Canis lupus familiaris: one gene and its partner. The main gene of each other region encodes a partner of the protein of the gene in region 2 in a complex. Links are inferred from orthologs where the notes say so. Each region holds a gene or a part of one and is shown on either strand. Other genes may lie near its edges. The genes, in order: BCL10 and MALT1.

Region 1 (8,352 bases), on a different chromosome or scaffold from region 2:
CATTTTTTTCCTCCCACTCAAATTTCTCCTTCACACATCTATCAGATCTTCCAATTTTTCAAGAGAAAATGAAAATCTGGAGTGGAATTCTACTAATATTGAAATGTTGTCAGTTAATTTTGTAAAAATTTAAAACAGTGTGTTCCACCAACTTAAAAGATAAAGTTCCTCAACTTTGGCAGAATAGTAGAGAGGTCAAGAGTATGGCTTTGAATAAGGCCAATGTCAGTTTGGATCGTAATTTGCCATATACTTCTTTAAGAACTGGGGCAAGAAACTTAAGCTAAGCTTCAGGTTCCTTATTTGTAAAATAGTGATAAACACTTACCCTGCAGAACCTCTAGAAGGACTCAGTAGGACAATGAGTATGAAGGCTTGACACAGTCTCTGATACACAGTCAGTACACAATAAGTAACAGCTATTTGATAATGGCAGACAGGGCACTTCATAGGATGGATCCTGCCTCTGGAGCTTAATCTGTCACCACCTCTAACTGTCCTGGTACTTTGTGTTCTACCTAAAACTGTCACTGTGTAGTTCTTCATGTTGTCACTTTATCTGATTTTCTCTTCTCATACCCTAAGTCCCTATTTATCATTTATGATTCAGCACAGTGGTCACCTCCTTCAGGAAGCTTTGTTTAAACTCCCCAGAAGGAATTAGGCACTCCTCTCTTCTGTCCTTGTAGCACCCTGTGCATATACTTCACTTTTCTACATACCACAACTATACTTCCTATCTCCCAATTCATTTCTATTCTGTATCATTACTCTTCTCAGCCACCAAGAACCTCGTCACTGTCAAATCTCATCCTCATTTGTCTTCATTTTACCTCTCAGCAGCATGGACACAGCTGACCACTCCCTCTCCTTGAAATACTGGTTTCGTGAATACCACACTCCCCTGGCTCTATTCCCATCTCTGTGGCTATGACCTTTCATTTAAAACAAAAAACAAAAAACAAAAAAACCAAAAAACTCCCCTATGATCTCCCTTTTCCCTTCTAGCTCTCAACTTTCTAGGTGAACTCACTCAATCCCACAGCTTGGATCTCCTTTGTGATCTTCAGATTTGTAGGTCTAATTGCTGATCTGACATTTTCACTCACCAGTCTGACTCTACTCTCTTTCTCAATTCAATCCATCACCAAATCTTAACATTTCTATTTCAAAAATGCATCTGGAATCCTCCTGTTCCATCCATTTCTACTGCTTTCCCCCTGATCCAAATCACCATCAGCTCTTAACTATATTAATTCCATGAATTAATATAGTTTCCCTCTTCTCACTTTTGCTCCCTTCCGTCCATACAATAGGCAAAGGGATTAAAAATATTAACATAGTTCTTCAGCAGACCCCTACTACACTTGAGAAAAATCCTAATACTTTATTACCATCTGTAAAATCCTCCATGATCTGGCTCTAGGCCAACCTTCCTAACTTCTCAGAGCACCCTCTGCCTGTTTCCAATTTCCCCAAGTCACCAAGGTCTTGCCTGTTTTAGTTCCTTTACAAACCTTACTCTGCCTAGAGGATTATTGCCCCAGTTCTGCTATATTCTTCAGCAACCACTTTAAATGTAACCTTCCCTGACCGTCCTATGTCAAGTTGATTCCCCCTGCTACTGTCTCAATACCTGTTTGTCTCCTTCATAGTACTTAGCATAATTTGTAAGCATATATTTGTCTTCAACCTTAATGACCTATATGTTTGAAGCAGGCAAAAACCACATTTGTTTTGTTCAACTCTGTATATCCTGCACTTAGCAGAGTGTCAAGTAGATAGTGTTCTAGATGAATGCAAAATTCATTGCACTTATTCTGTAATTTGCAATTATTAATTTATGTCTGTTTCCCTCCTTCCAGGAAATTAAGCTCTTTTCAAACTGGGATTGCGTCTTAATTTCTAATTTTCGAATTGTTAGAACCATGCATACCTCACAGCAGCATGTAATCCAAAAGATGAGGTAAACAAGTTGATGGGGGCAGGGGGAAGGGAGGAGCATAATGAAAGAGTGGGACTTTCCAGAAGGCTGGGGTGGTGGCATACTATCCATCAAGACAGAGAATATAGCAAGCAGCTTTGGGGAAGGGATGATAAAAAGTTCAATTTCTGACAAGATGAGGAGTGTACAGAACATAAAAGTAAATTTCCAGTAGATATTTGGAAACAAGCATCTAGAGTTGACAAAGAAGGAAGTGCAAATATTTGTATGATAATTTTAAGACTGAGGTCATCAACCATTTTGAAAATAGCATGAAAAAAATCTCTAAGAAAAAAAATGTGCACATACATTTTTTTCATAGACCTCCTGAGACCCCTTCATGATTCCCCAAGATTATGAATTGCTGAGATAGCTGTAAATTGAAATCATGGAGATGGATAGTATCAATGAACTGACAGGGAAAAAAAGTGAATAAAGACCTGAAGACTGGGGATCCCTGGATGACTCAATGGTTTAGTGCCTGCCTTTGCACAGGGCGTGGTCCTGGAGACCTGGGATCCAGTCCCACATCGGGCTCCCTGCATGGAGCCTGCTTCTCCCTCTGCCTGTGTCTCTGCCTGCCTCTCTCTCTCTGTGTCTCTCATGAATAAATGAAAAAATATATAAAAAAAAAGAGAAAAAATAAATAAATAAATAAATAAAAAAGAGACCTGGAAGACACTCTTCACAACTGTGTTTGTGTACAGGTTTTATATTTATGCCCAACTGTAACCTCTCACAGCACTGCTGTAAAGATTAAATGGGAACATTGCAAATTATGTGACAAAGATTTTGGAACACCACAGGCTTAGCTCTTGAAGTGCATGGTTCCACTGGCACCAATCTTATATAAGACAACACTCATTTATTCTGTGGTAGTTATCAATGTCCCGGTTTTATCTCGACTAGAATATAAAGCAGAGGCCAGATTATCTTTTTTTTTTTTGTATCTTTCCAGGCCCAAGGACAGTGCCTTCCATATACTAAGCGCTCCATCTGTATCGCTGAATGAGCAAACTAAGGCACAAATCCCTGTCATATCCAGTTTCCTTCTGTTAATGAGTCATTCCAATTGTCATTATGTAATTATGAGTGCAGTGTAATAAACCTTTCAAGGGAGAAAAGGGGGTAAGCATCTAAGGTAGATGAACATCTAAAAAAGCTGCTGTCTTGTCCAGTTCACAAATATAATTCTGTATTAAGTGCTGCAGAACTCATTTTCTGTTGGGTTTCTGGTTTTAATTCGAAATTACACGAAGTATTTTGGGGGTACTCCTACAGGTCTCACGTGGCAAAACAAGTAATTAAAAGCAAAAGAAACGAGATACCTCAACAAATAAGTACTAAGATTTGTGCAGTTCTGCAGCATCCAAGCAAAAGGGCATAATTTAGGTACTGAATATTTTCAGCATTTACCTGTAAATTAATTTTCGGCTACACCCACCCCCCAATTTAAATATGTGGGCGTTTGCTTACTAGGGGAATTCCAGGTTGTGCTTTCAGCTGTTGAGCTTCCCCCAACCCCCCTTTATAAGAGAGTTTCACATATTTGCTCCACTGCTTGGAGCCTTTCTCGGGTCCAGCTGTCGCTCCAGGTTGGGCCAGCAGCCTAGGGAGTGTGACTCAAGGCGGAACCTGGGCAGTCGACTCCCGACGACGCGGCCCCAAAGCGCAGGGGTGGGGGGTAGAGATCCCCGGGGAGGAGTGGAGAGTCGGCAAGAAGCTGAGTGCGGTGAAACGCTCCACTGGACAGGGTTTCAGAACCCAGCGACCTAAACGTGGATTAACAGGTCACGAGGGGTCGCTTCCACCGAGGTCCCTCGGGCGCCGTCGTGCAGCAGCGCCCGGACCTGGAGCCCCTCGGACCCGCAGGCTCCTGCTCCTCTCCGGCTCGGACTCCCACTCCGCGTTTCCGCTCTCCTCGCCCGCCCGCCCGGCCGGGCCTGCCCCTGCCCACCCGCGACCCCCGGCCCTCGGCGGCGCCCGGGCAAGGCTGGCTACTCACGTCCTTCTTCACTTCGGTCAGGTCCTCCTCGGTGAGGGACGGCGCAGCGGGCTCCATGGCGGAGGAGCGGGGTAGCGCCTCTTCCGGGTCCGGGAGCTGCGGCGGCACCGCCCGGCCAGGCAGGGGACTCGGGCCTCCGGGTGAAGCGGCGACAAGGGCAGGCGGAGCGGGTCGAGAGGAAGAGGGCTGCCGCTTCCAAAACAGAGGCTCACGGACGAGCCCGTAGAGCTTCCGGCTCCGCCTCTGGGGCCGAGGGCGCCGCAGACCTGGGCGTCCCCCAGCGGGCTCCGCGCTGCGCTCCTTCCTCTCCCGGAGGCGCCGGCGCAGGCCCCGCCCCCCGACGAGGCGGGGCTGGCCGTGGGGCCCGCCCCCTCCCAGCGGGAGCCAATCGCTGCCGGCCCGGGGCCCGAGCCTGGCCCCGCCCCCGGCCCCGCCCACAGCCCCCGCGCGTCCTTTGCCGGGAGCGTTTCCGTGGGTGGGGCCCGAGGCTCCTCCCGCCGCAGGCCCCGCCTTTGCGGACCGCTCGCCGGCGGAGGCGGGTCTCTGCCGGACCGTCCCCCCCGGGCTCCTCCCCTTTCCCCAGACCCCGCCCCGCAGCTTCCGGCCGCTGCCTTAACCTACTGAAGCTGTGGGGTTAGATACCCGCCTGCTCGGACGCGGCCCGCGGGCAGCTCCGCTGCAATAGTCAAGACTTTTTTTTTTTTGTCAAGACATTTTTGAAAGAGAAAAACCGCCTATAATCCTTTCATTTTAGCACTCGATTTAACGTCAGCATGCTTTTTGGTCACTTTTTTATGATCCTGTTTCCTTATTTGTTCCATCTGTGTGATGAAGGGATGTCTACCTTACATCCCTTATGGGCTGCTGTGAGAATTAAATGATACTATATATGTAAGGTTCTCAGAGGTACTTGGCATACAGTATGAACTCCGTTTATGATGATCTTTTACTACCCAAACACTTATTGAGTCCTTACTAATATGTCTAGTCATCTTATCTTAGAAGAATTCTATTTTTATGGGGGAGACTGATAAGCAGACAACTACGCCCAGAATGGTATCTAACTACTAATGGAAGTGTATACAGAACAACATGAATAATGAAGAATGGGGACACCTGGGTGGCTCAGTGGTTGAGCATCTGCCTTTGGCTCAGGTGGTGATCCTGGGGTCCTGGGATCCAGTCCAGGATCGGGCTTCCCACAAGGAGCCTGCTTCTGTCTCTGCTTCTCTCTGTGTGTCTCTCATGAATAACTAAATAAAATATTTTTTTTTAAAAAAAGAATGAATAATGTGGATGAGAAGTTCAAAACACAAGACAATGGGCCCAAGACAATGGTTTGGACAACATGCTGAATAAACTCCGTGGTATTTGAAGCAGTGAGGGTAGACAGGACAAGAGGTAGATAGACAAAGACAAACTTGGGAAGTCCAACATTTTTTGAAAGTAAACTCTACACCCAACATGAGGCTTGAACTCACAACCCAGTATCAAGAGTTACATGCTCTACCCACAGAACCAGCCAGTGGGATACCTCTTGAGAACTCTAACATTTAAAGGAAGGGAAAGCAAAAGAACCAGAAAAGGACAATGTTGCCAAAGCCACACAGATGTCTCTTAGCAGCTTCGGGCTCCATCATAAGCTTCTAACATTTACATTACATCATGTGTCTTTTCCTACATTGATCCACAGTACAGTTTTATCTGATTGCTTAATCTTCCCTCATCTTGGTTTAACCCAATTTACTTAACCATTTGTTCTTTCATTTTACAAATATTTATTGAATGTCAACTATGCACCAGACACGGTTTTGGGGTTTGGGGAAACAGCTATGAACAAAATAGGTAAAAATTTATTTCTTCCTGGAGTTTAAAGTCCAGCATACATGTGTTTCAGGGCAGAGCAAATAGACATTTGGAAAATGATATGTAAAGTTATTCTGTTAGAAGATAACAAATGCTAAGAGAAAATACAAAACAGGATAGTAGGATAAGGGTATATGGGATGTTAACAGTAAAAAAAAATATTTTTATTCAACTATAATTAACACAGAGTGTTATATTAGTTTCAAGTGTACAATATAATGATTCAACAATTCTATACATTATTCATCACTCAGTACTGGAGTGGTAACGTTTAAAATAGGGTAGTTTGTGAAGATCTCACTGAGAAAAGGAGATTTAAGCTACCACTTGAAGAGAGTGAGGTAATGTCATGTGGACATTTGGAGAAAGAACATTATGAGTAGAGGGAACAGCCAATGAAAAATATCCAGTGGGACTGGGAAGGAGATGAGGTCCTTGTGTGCTACTGTAAATGTGTAACCTGATTTTACTGAGTCATATGGGTGTACTCTGAGTCAAAGGGGAAGCCACTGGAGGGTTCTGAGCAGTGGAGTGACATGATCCGATTTATGATTTGAAAAAGGAACAGTTTCACTGTTGCCTTGAGGAGAAGGAAGATGGAAAAAGGGAGACCAGTTAGGGTGCTGTTCCCGAAATTCAGGGTCTGGGAGGTGGTGGCTCAAGTCAGGGCTAGAAGCAGCAAGGGTGGTGGGAACCTTTGGGAGAGAAGTGGGGATGCGATTTCATTTCCTTCTAAAAGGGCTACCTTTGGCTGCTGAGAGTAGACTGTAGGTGTAAAAGTAGAAGCAGAGACAGCTGGAGGCTACCCCAGGGATCTAGGGGGAGATGGGGGTGGCGTGACCAGAGTGGGAGCAGTGCTGAGCACTCCCTAGTGGTCACCTTAAGTTCTTCTCACTTTGTCATTGTTATAAACAGTTTGTCTCCCATTTATTCATCTACATGTTCTCCATCCTTTTTTCTTTTGAGTTATCATTTCCTCTGCACAAATTCTCAGGAGCAGGAGTACAGAGCCCAAGGAAATGTGTTTTCATATATATATTTCCATACTTTCTCTCCAAAGTCTTGGTCCATCTGTGTGTGTGGAAATGAACTGTTTTGCCACAACAATACAAGCTCCGCTGATGAAGGAGAGGATACAGCATCCCTTAAAGTAAAGTGATTTCAACGATGCCAACTTGACACAACCATTTCAATGTAGCTATTAGGAGTTGGTCTATTGTTCTTTTTTATTATTTATTTATTTTTATTTTATTTTTTTTTCTAGAGAGAGAGCACATGTGCATGTGTGTGTACCCGTGGAGGGGGGCAGTGGCAGGTAGGGGGGTGGGGATGAGGGGTAGAGGGAGTGGGAGAGAATCTTTTTTTTTTTAATTTATTTATTTATTCATGAGAGACACACAGAGAGACAGAGGCAGAGACACAGGCAGAGGGAGAAGCAGGCTCCATGCAGGAAGCCTGATGTGAGACTTGATCCTGGGACCCCAGGGTCATGTCCTGAGCCAAAAGCAGATGCTCAACCGCTGAGCCACCTGGGGGGCGGGGAGGGGGGAGAGAGAGAGAGACTTAAGCAGACTCCACTCCCAGCACAGAGCCCAACATGAGGATCAGTCTCACAACACGGAGATCATGACCTTAGCAGAAATCAAGAGCCAGACACTCAACCAACTGAGCCACCCAGATTGTTCTTTTTTTAAACAAAACATTTAAAACACACCACACTGTGGAGAAAAATATTACAAACATCTATATTCACTGCCAATGTTTGGCGAATGTTGATACTTTGCCACATTGCCTTCTGTTACGACTATTGATCACCAAATGTTAGTGTCAGACACCTCTTATTCTTGAGACTTCTTTCATGACTCTTGCCATACATCTGACTTTTTCCTCATTGTTGACCATTGTTTCATTTCTGACACTTCCAACCTCATTCTGTGCTCAGTGTGCAGTTCTTTATTCATTTACTCAGCTAAAAGGTAAAGTGTCTGCTATGTGGGGGTTCAGAGAGAGGATCAGGGGTTGAGAGGGACTGAGTGAGGAGCTTAGGGATTTTTCAAAGCCAAGAGGTTAACCTTTTTGTTTTTGACGCCATGTCTCCACGTTCCCAAGTGGACAGTCTGTGTCAAAGCAGCCACATCGGAATGTCATGTGCCTCATCACGGAGCTGGTTCAGGGCAGGTCTTGCAGCATCCAGGCCCACTTTTTTTCTGGTGCACCATACTTCATGAGCAGACACATTTCCACTTCTCTACTCAACCACATGGTCAGGCTGTAATGAGGATTGGGCACCTTTTCAAGAAACAGCCCTGTCCATTGCCTGCCTTGCAATAATTTCACCTCTTCCCCTCCCCCACCCCCCACATCAAGTTATAGGGATTCCATCTGTCTCCTACTGTGAAATACAAGGCGTCTGATAAATGTACCATGAAAGTTATAGTATAGTCTGCAGACACAAGACACCATATCATAGTGGCTAAATATGAAGATGTTTGGCATC
Region 2 (8,112 bases):
CCCAAATAAAACACATCATGCATCCCTTAGGGTACAAATCATGACCCCGCTTTCAGGTTCTTTTGCTTCTCTTCTTGGAACATTTACTCTTTGAAATCTCTATTCATTAACTCAGCAACTACTCATTAGTCATCTAAAATAGGCCAACCATTTTTTCTAGGTTCTTTAGGATACTGTAGCAAACAAGACAAAATTCTCTATCAGCCTGGATTTTACTACTACATATATATATACACACACACATGCACTGGCAGGCAAAGAGAGAGGTGTGTGTGTGTGTCCATCCAATGGTCATAAGTGCTCTGGAGCAAAAAAAGGCAAAGCAGGGGAATAAGTAATGCTGGAGTGGACGTACTGGGTGTTTTTAAATAATGTGATCACTTAAGACCTCATTGAAGGAGGTGACTTGTGAGCAAACACTTGAAGGGGTAAAGGAGGGAGTCAGTTCACCTGTGGAGACTATCTCAGATGGAGGAAACAGCAAGTACAAAGACCCTCCCGTGTTCAAGTCAAAAGCGAGAAAGCAAGTGTGCAGAGAGCAAAGAAAGGAAGACAACAGCGTCCAAGAGATAGGTGGTTAGCTAACTGGTGTTTTTATCCTGAAACAGAAAAGCAGTTAAGGGGTTTTGAGCAGAAGAAGGGGAAGACTCGACTGAACCTTTTAAAAGTAGTAATAATTCTCACTGCCATGCTGAGAACAGCCTGGGGGCAGGGGCAAAGTGGGAGAAGGCAGGCGGCTCCTGGAATGATCCAGGTGAGAGAGGCTGGACTCCGGATGCACAGGAGGTACAGCAGACGAGGGTCGCTGATAACACGGATGTGCTGTGTAAAAGCAGAGTCGGGGCTGATGGTGAAGTTTTGGGCCTGAGCGATCGGAGGGGTGCAGTCGCTATTTCCCGAGATAAAGAAAACTGCATGAGAAAGAGGGCTGTGGAGGAAGATGTGCTAAGTTTTGGAGGTGATACGCTTAACGAATCCAGGGGGTTCAAAGCAAAGATAGGAACCGAGTAATCCACCCTGAGACTTAAGGATACACCAAGAAGGGGACTGGGTGAGGACGTGTAGGTGGAGACACAAGGCCTGAACCCTACAGCACTCCAAATTTCTGACACTGAAGAGACAGGAGAAATTTGTTTCAGCTTTTCACAGGTTCTCATGCTTATAACTGTGTGAGGGCAGAAATCTGCAGCTGAAGACGCCTTCTGTGCAGCAGGTGCGCTGTGATGGGTCTCCTTGGCCCGCATCCCACAGCCCCCTTCCAAGCTCTCTGCATGGAGTCCAGGCAGCAGGAGAGCCTCCTGAAAGTTCTGGCACCTCCCGGGCTCCGAGGTCCCACACCAGCACACAGTTTACGTAGCTTGGCCAAGACACTCGGAACCTGCATCTAGCTGCACTGACAGCAAAGGCTGTTCAGTAGCAGGGTGGTTAGGAGTGGAATTAGGGCTGAGGTTGTAATTAGGGCATTTCCGTGTGCACACGGTCGTGGGAAACTAAAGCGTAAACCTGGATGGACTCTGAGTCACCCAGAATCATATGAAGACATTTATTCCTAATCCGTGAGAGACCGTTCAGGATGGGCTCTTGTGGTTGATTCAGTAAATTCTCATCTATTTGAGGAAACATGTATAGAGTCAGAAAAAAAGTGGAAAGAAACAACAGGCAACCTGTGAAGACCTTAGGGAAAAAGTCCACATCCTTATGGGAACTGTGGTCCACTTGGACCGTCACACTTTAATTCCTTGATCTCACACTAGAGAAAAATATCTTTGGGATTTTCTGCTATCATAGATGCTCTTCTAGCACCAGTATGAAATTACTCTGAAATAGCTTTTTTTTTGGTTTTACATAGAGAAAGCGTCCCCAGCTTACCTTGCTCCTCAGATGTCACTCTCCAGCCCCTTAGTTTCCTTCTGTTATGCCAACTTAATTCTGATTTTGTTAAGTATATGACTTTAATGTTCTCCTATTTCCCAGCCTGCAGGGGTGCCCCCACTCCCACCATCACTCACCTATTCTGAACTAATCTTCACCAACCTGGAAGTCTGGTGAAATCCCATCTATTTCTTTCTTTCTTTCTTTTCCCTATCCGTTTCTTTTCAGACCTCCCACCCTGGAATTTGCCGGGTTCTAGGAATATATGCACTTTGTTGCCTGTCACCCCTTGCGAGGCTGCTGCCCTTCTCTCCATTCTACCTTCATCAGAGATGTGGCCTCAGACTTTTCTATTAGTTTGCCAAACGAACCATTCTGTAGCCTTTGGGAAAACCCAACTGGAGGCTTGGGGAGGAACACTGAGTGTGTGATGTCAGGTATCCATCACTTTCTGATTCCATCAGCCAAGCTTCTTCAGCCGCAGGGCCTTCCTTTCTTTTCTTTCCTCCACTGCCAAATTAGGAGTCCTCATTCCCAGGCCCTCCTCAGCAGAGTCCAGAGCCTTCTCTAACTAGCATACGAATCACAAACTAACCAATCCCAGATCTGATGATCTGATCTCCAAAGAAGAAAACACTTTTCTGTTGTTAAGTCTAGAAATTCAGAAACCTATGGACCTAATGTAATAGTATTTTGGATTTTTCTTTGCACAACCACCTCTCCCTAAAAGAAGCATGTTTTTTGTTTTCTTTTTTTTTCCCCCGGAAAAGAAAATTGTGCCATCTGTCCGCTCAACTTTGTGAGTTTACCACTTCTTAATTCCAACCTCACATGTGGCCAAAGAACCCTAAATCATCATGACCCCAGTTTAACCCCAAACTCTGAAACTCGAGGTTGTTGTGAGGGTTAAAGTAGATAACACATGGAGATGCTTAGTGCGTTAGTATACTCTAAGTGTTCAATAGATGATAACCTATTGTTATCATTACATCCCACACAGCGTTTTGGACATGTTATTTGTGAATGCCCCAGAAGAACAGTTCATTACTAGGTAGGCCCTTGTGAATAGGAATAAAATATTTGTCATCTTTTTATCCTCTGGAACTTCCAGCTCATAATAGGCCCTGAAAACAAACATAACTGTGAATGAATGACTCCCCTTTCCAAAGTATTTACTCCAAAGTGCCTAAGACAGGTTCCACGCATAGAACACAGAATCTTCACTGATGCCTCCTGTTCTCAAGGAGTTCATCAAAAGCGTAGAAATAATCACAGTACAAGCCAAGGTTTAGTCACATAAGGAGTTACAAGAACTTCTCAGGGATTCCCAGGCAGACCAAAATCCCAACAACGGTATAGAGGAGCGGTTCAAAGTGTGGTCTGGGCATCTCTCGTGCAGTTCCTGGGACCCTGGCACCGCAAGGTCAAAACGGTCTTTCACAGGAACACTGAGATGCTATTTACCGTTTTCATCTACCTTCGGAGGAAACGTACACTTTGGAGCATCCGGCGTCACAGGGCCCGGGATACAGCGCGGCCCACTGAAGGCAGCAACACGGAACAGGGACCCGACGTGCAAGGGACCTTCCCAACCTAAAGCAATGCCTCTTGTCTAACTACTTTTTGCCTGTTTTGGAAAAGCCTCTTTTTCCAAAAAAGAAGAACACGTCACTTCTGTGAACATGTAACGGATTACTCTTTTTTAAAAAGTCAGCATACCTAACGCTTCGTGTTCGGTGTCCACCCCGGGTATGCGGGCGGCAGCCGGAACGCGCGGGCAGCCCCCTCCGGGGTCCTCGGTACTTGCCGGGTGTAAACCAGCCCCGACACCCCACGGCGGCAGCTCCGGGCCCGGGAAGAGGCCAGCCGTGCTGCGTCCAGCCCCGTCCCTCGGGCCCGCGAGGAGGGGCCCCGGGAGGTCGGTCTGATGGAGGGAGGCGGCGAGTCCCAGGTTCGGCCTTTCCCCCCACGGCGTCTCCCGCGGGCCCTGCAGGCGACCCGGCCCGCCCGCCTCCCCGCCCCCGCCGCCCCCGCCGCCCCGCGCCCCGCCCTCACCTGAGCCGGAGGCGCCCCCGGCTCCCCGCCACCTCGGCCAGCCTCCTCCAGCCCCGGCCCTCGGGCGCTCGGTCCAGGCTCCCGCCGAGCCTCCGCAGCAGCGGCTCCGGAAGGCGGTTGAGGGTCGCGCCGCCCGGCGCGGGGAGCGGCGGCCCCGAGGGCGCGGCCGGGGGCGGCTGCGAGCCCGGGGGCGGCGGGGCCTGCGGGGCCTGCGGGGCCTGCGGCGCCTGCGGCGGGGCCTGCAGCAGCTCCCCGCACAGCGACCCCGCGAGCGCCGCGCCTCCCGCCGGCCGCATCGCCGGCCTCGGCTCCGCCGCGCCTTCCGCTCGCCCCCTCGCTCGCCCCGGCGCCGCGGAGGCAGGGGCGGAAGGACGAGCCCAGCCGCGCCGCACCGCTCTCCGAGGAGGAAGCTCCGCCGCCCGCCCGCCCCGCCGACACAGCTTTGCCGGGGCCGCCGGCCGCTGCGCCCCGCCCCGCCTGCTGCGCCGGGGGCGGGGGCCGGGATGGGGCGGGGCCTGGGATGGGGCGGGGCGGGGCCTGGGCGGGGCGGGGCCGCCCCCCTGTGCGCGCGGCTGCGGGAACCTGGTGCTGCGTCAAGGGGGCGTGGCCGGGGCGGGGCCTGGGCTGGGGCGGGGCCGGCCCCCCGCGCACGCGGCTGCGGGAACCTGGCGCGGCGCCGAGAGGGCGGGGCCTGGGGCGGGGCCACTCCCTGCCCGCTAGGCCGGGCGCTGCGCCGACGGGGCGGGGCCTGTGGCGGGGCGGGGCCTGGGCGGGGCCACTCCTTGCGCGCTAGGCCCGGGTGCAGCGCCGAGGGGGCGGGGCCTGGGCGGGGCTGAGACGCGCGGCTCCGGGGCGGGGAGGTGGGGTCGGGGCTGAGCGGGAAGGACCGGGTGGCTGCCGCCGGCGGAGGAGGCGGTGGAGGCTGCGCCCGGGCGGCTGGGCTCCGGCGAGGGCGCCCGCGGCGTCGGGGCTTCCCAGGCCGTGGGAGGAGGGTTGCCTCGCTCGGGGGACGCGGGGAGGGCGCCCGGCTCCCCAGCGCCGGCCCGGCCGCGCTCAGCTGACTCAGGGACTCGGTGCGGCCCGCGGCGCCACCCGCAGCGGCGTTGGGCAACCTCAGGGGAGGCTTCCTCGTTTAGGGTTTGATGTGTAGGCATTGCTAAGGGAAGTGGTTCCTAGACATCAGATACCTAATGGAAATTTGCTCGAAATCTGTGCCTACACTTTTTTTTTTTCTTAACTGGATGGCAGATCTTGCAAATGATTGTTTTTAGCAGGAATGGTCTGGTTTCCTCCGAGTCAGACTGCCCCCCCATTGAAGACTGTGGAGTAGCCTGGGGCAAAAGCAAGCAACTTATGAAATGCGACCACAGCCAGATTGCCCCCCTCCCCCCAATTTCTGGTGCCATTAGGTTTTTCATCACACAGGGCAGCAGGATTTCCTGTACCCAACTCTTGCAGCCTTCTGGCGAGGTAGTTGATCCCTGCAGTCTCCCATCACGTTAAGCACAAGCAATCGCTATACTTTTTTTCATCCGGTGTAAATGCAGAGTTCAGAGAATGCAACGGCCAAGTGCCTTTAGATCCGGAAAGATCTGCTGGATTCTAGTTTTATGACCTTGAATAAGTTACTTAACTCTCTGCCTCACCTGTTAAAATGGGACCGAAGACACAGTAGTGTGTATAAGCTTGTTACCAGAATTAAGGGAGCTGATGATGTACCTAAAGCACCTAACTCTGCTTGTCACATAGTAGGTGACAAATGCTAGTTTTTATCTTTACAAACGCAAAAGCTTGTTTCATACTCAGCTTGACTTGATAACCTTTCCCGAACACTTCTTGGTGCCTCCCTGTTTTGTTCTTAGTCATCGGACATATAGGACAATCTATTAGCTTGCATGGGCCAGTTATGGAAATCAAGTCTTTTAGTTTTTACTGGTCTAGTCTTTATTAGTCAACTAGTCTTTTAAAATTGGGATTCAACCGGCTTCTTTTCTCTAAGTCTGCTATGTGCTCAACGTTGCTTATGCAGCTTTTCAAATGTGCCTGGGGGTCAAATGCACATCTATCTTATTCGGCACATCTATCTTATTCACCCTGGGAATCCTTCCTAATTTGATCAGGTGCTTCTTTATCCAACATAGCTCAGCTAGATACTGACAGTGTCCATCCCCTCCCATGTCCTCCTCACCCACTCTTCTCCTGCCAGCAGGACTGCCTCCCACATTTCATTCTACTCTGGGTCCTGTTTTCCACCTTGAAATTTTGTTTTATTTTATTTTATTATTTTTTAAAGATTTTATTTATTTATTCATGAGAGAGAGAGAGAGAGAGAGAGGCAGAGACACGGGCAGAGGGAAGCAGGCTCCATGTAGGGAGCCCGACGTAGGACTCGATCCTGGGTCTCCAGGAGCACGCCCTGGGCTGAAGGCCACACTAAACCACTGAGCCACCCAGGCTGCCCCCGTTTTATTTTTTTAAGTAGGCTCTAACCCCCGACGTGAGGCTTGAACTCACAACCTCGAGATCAAGAATGCCATGGTCTACTGACTGAGCCAGCCCGGTGCCTCCTACCTACCTTGCAGTTTTATAATCTATTCAGTCACCCCACCCACCACCCTCCAACCTCTGCCATGGACTGACATTACATCTTACGATTGGTCTTTTTCTCCTCTTAATCAAATATTAACATTTTTATTATGTAATTTCACCCCCTGTGGTTCTCTTAAGGGGCATGATGGTTTAATAGGGAAAATTATGACCTTTAGAATTAGCCCTGAATTTGAATGTTGATGCTGCCACTTATTAGAGACATGACTTTAGGCAAGTTACTTTAACCTCTCAGCTTCAATTTCTACGTCTGTAAAAAGCAGAAGATAATAGTACCTGCTTCAAATGACGTTGTGAGGATGAAATGAGAAAAAATAATGTATACATATAAAAAGTGTCTCGGAGAAGTAGATGCAGGGTATATTAGTACTCTCAAAACTGCCACATTAATTTTGGGAACAAAGTAATAAGCAGTAATTCCGCTTCCTTTCCTATGCTAACCATTGCAATCATACGCAGATAGGAGTAAAATGGAGAGTGGAGATCTGGCTTTTAAATGCACCTTCAAAGTTCATGCATATCTTTAGATGATATGCTTGGGAGCTCTTCCTCATTTGTTAAAAGTGACATAGATCATTGTGAATCCAGACAATCTGCAAGAAGCTTGTGGTTTCTTTCTATGGAAATCCGTTGATGTAATCTTCAAAATACAAATCTGGAAACTGACTCACAAGTTTCTTTTCCTTTACAGAATTTGACTTTAGATGGTACTCTAACTAAAAATGCCAGGACAACATGTTATTTCATATCTGGACAGGTTTTCAAAGGCCGCGTGGGTGCAGGAGGAAACCTGCAAGTCCTGGACTGGTGTACAATGGAGGGGGAGGATGCAGGAGTCCTGTAACTTACATGGCACCCCTGTCTTTCACCCTCATTCCATAACCAGTACCCTTCATGTCCTCTGGCTCCGCTCTGTGTTGAGGCCACTCAGTGTACCCTCAGAAACAAGGCTCTCCACACCCACTGCAGTCCCTTCTTGCTGCCATCTCCCAAAGAATTAGGGGCACTTTCCCATTTGGATTTCAACTTTGGAATAGTAACTGTCATAATAATTTTCCATCATAATGAATCATCCATACCAAAGACTACAATTACTTGTCTAAATTCATTCATTCATTCATTCATTTATTCACTCATTCATTCGATCATTAACAAATATTTACTGATGCCTACCTTGTGCCAGGCTCTGTGCCAACTACTGTTAAAGGATAGTTTTTATTAAGGCTTTTTTGGGGGAGGGGGCAATTTTAGATTCACAGCAAAGTTGAGGGGAAGATACAGAGATTTCCCATATACCCTCTGCTTCTACACATGCACAACCTCTCCCATTATCAATATCCTGCAGCAGAGTGGTACACGTGTTATAACTGATGAACGTCCACTGACACATAACCACCCTAAGTCCATAGTTTACATTAGGGTTCACTCTTGGTGTTGTGCATTCTGTGGATTCAGACAAATGTATAATAACATGTATCCACCATTATGGTAGTATACCAGTGGTATTTTCACTGCCCTAAAGATCTGTGCCCCACCTATTCATCCCTTTACCCTTGAACTCTCATGAGACTATCAATG

The links.
Region 1: the proteins of MALT1 (region 2) and BCL10 are in contact, whole or in part, in a cryo-EM structure (PDB 6GK2), measured with the Homo sapiens proteins. The link is inferred for Canis lupus familiaris from reciprocal best matches to the Homo sapiens genes MALT1 and BCL10. Residues at the interface, in NP_006776.1 of Homo sapiens: Asp46, Gln47, Ala48, Pro49, Trp54, Arg55, Leu74, Glu75, Ser78, Leu79, Val81, Leu82, Glu83, Pro84, Glu85, Gly86, Pro88; in NP_003912.1 of Homo sapiens: Leu13, Lys17, Val83, Arg87, Asn93, Gln97, Thr100, Leu104, Arg107, Asn108, Leu111.

The regions. Positions count from the first base shown.
Region 1 is NC_049227.1:63,254,003-63,262,354, reverse strand, and holds the start of BCL10 (B-cell lymphoma/leukemia 10), read right to left. Parts: upstream 4,314-8,352; 5' UTR 4,047-4,313; coding exon 3,990-4,046; intron 1-3,989. UniProt on the Homo sapiens protein: Plays a key role in both adaptive and innate immune signaling by bridging CARD domain-containing proteins to immune activation.
Region 2 is NC_049222.1:17,511,972-17,520,083, forward strand, and holds the start of MALT1 (mucosa-associated lymphoid tissue lymphoma translocation protein 1), read right to left. Parts: upstream 4,224-8,112; coding exon 3,928-4,223; intron 1-3,927. UniProt on the Homo sapiens protein: Protease that enhances BCL10-induced activation: acts via formation of CBM complexes that channel adaptive and innate immune signaling downstream of CARD domain-containing proteins (CARD9, CARD11 and CARD14) to activate NF-kappa-B and MAP kinase p38 pathways which stimulate expression of genes encoding pro-inflammatory cytokines and chemokines.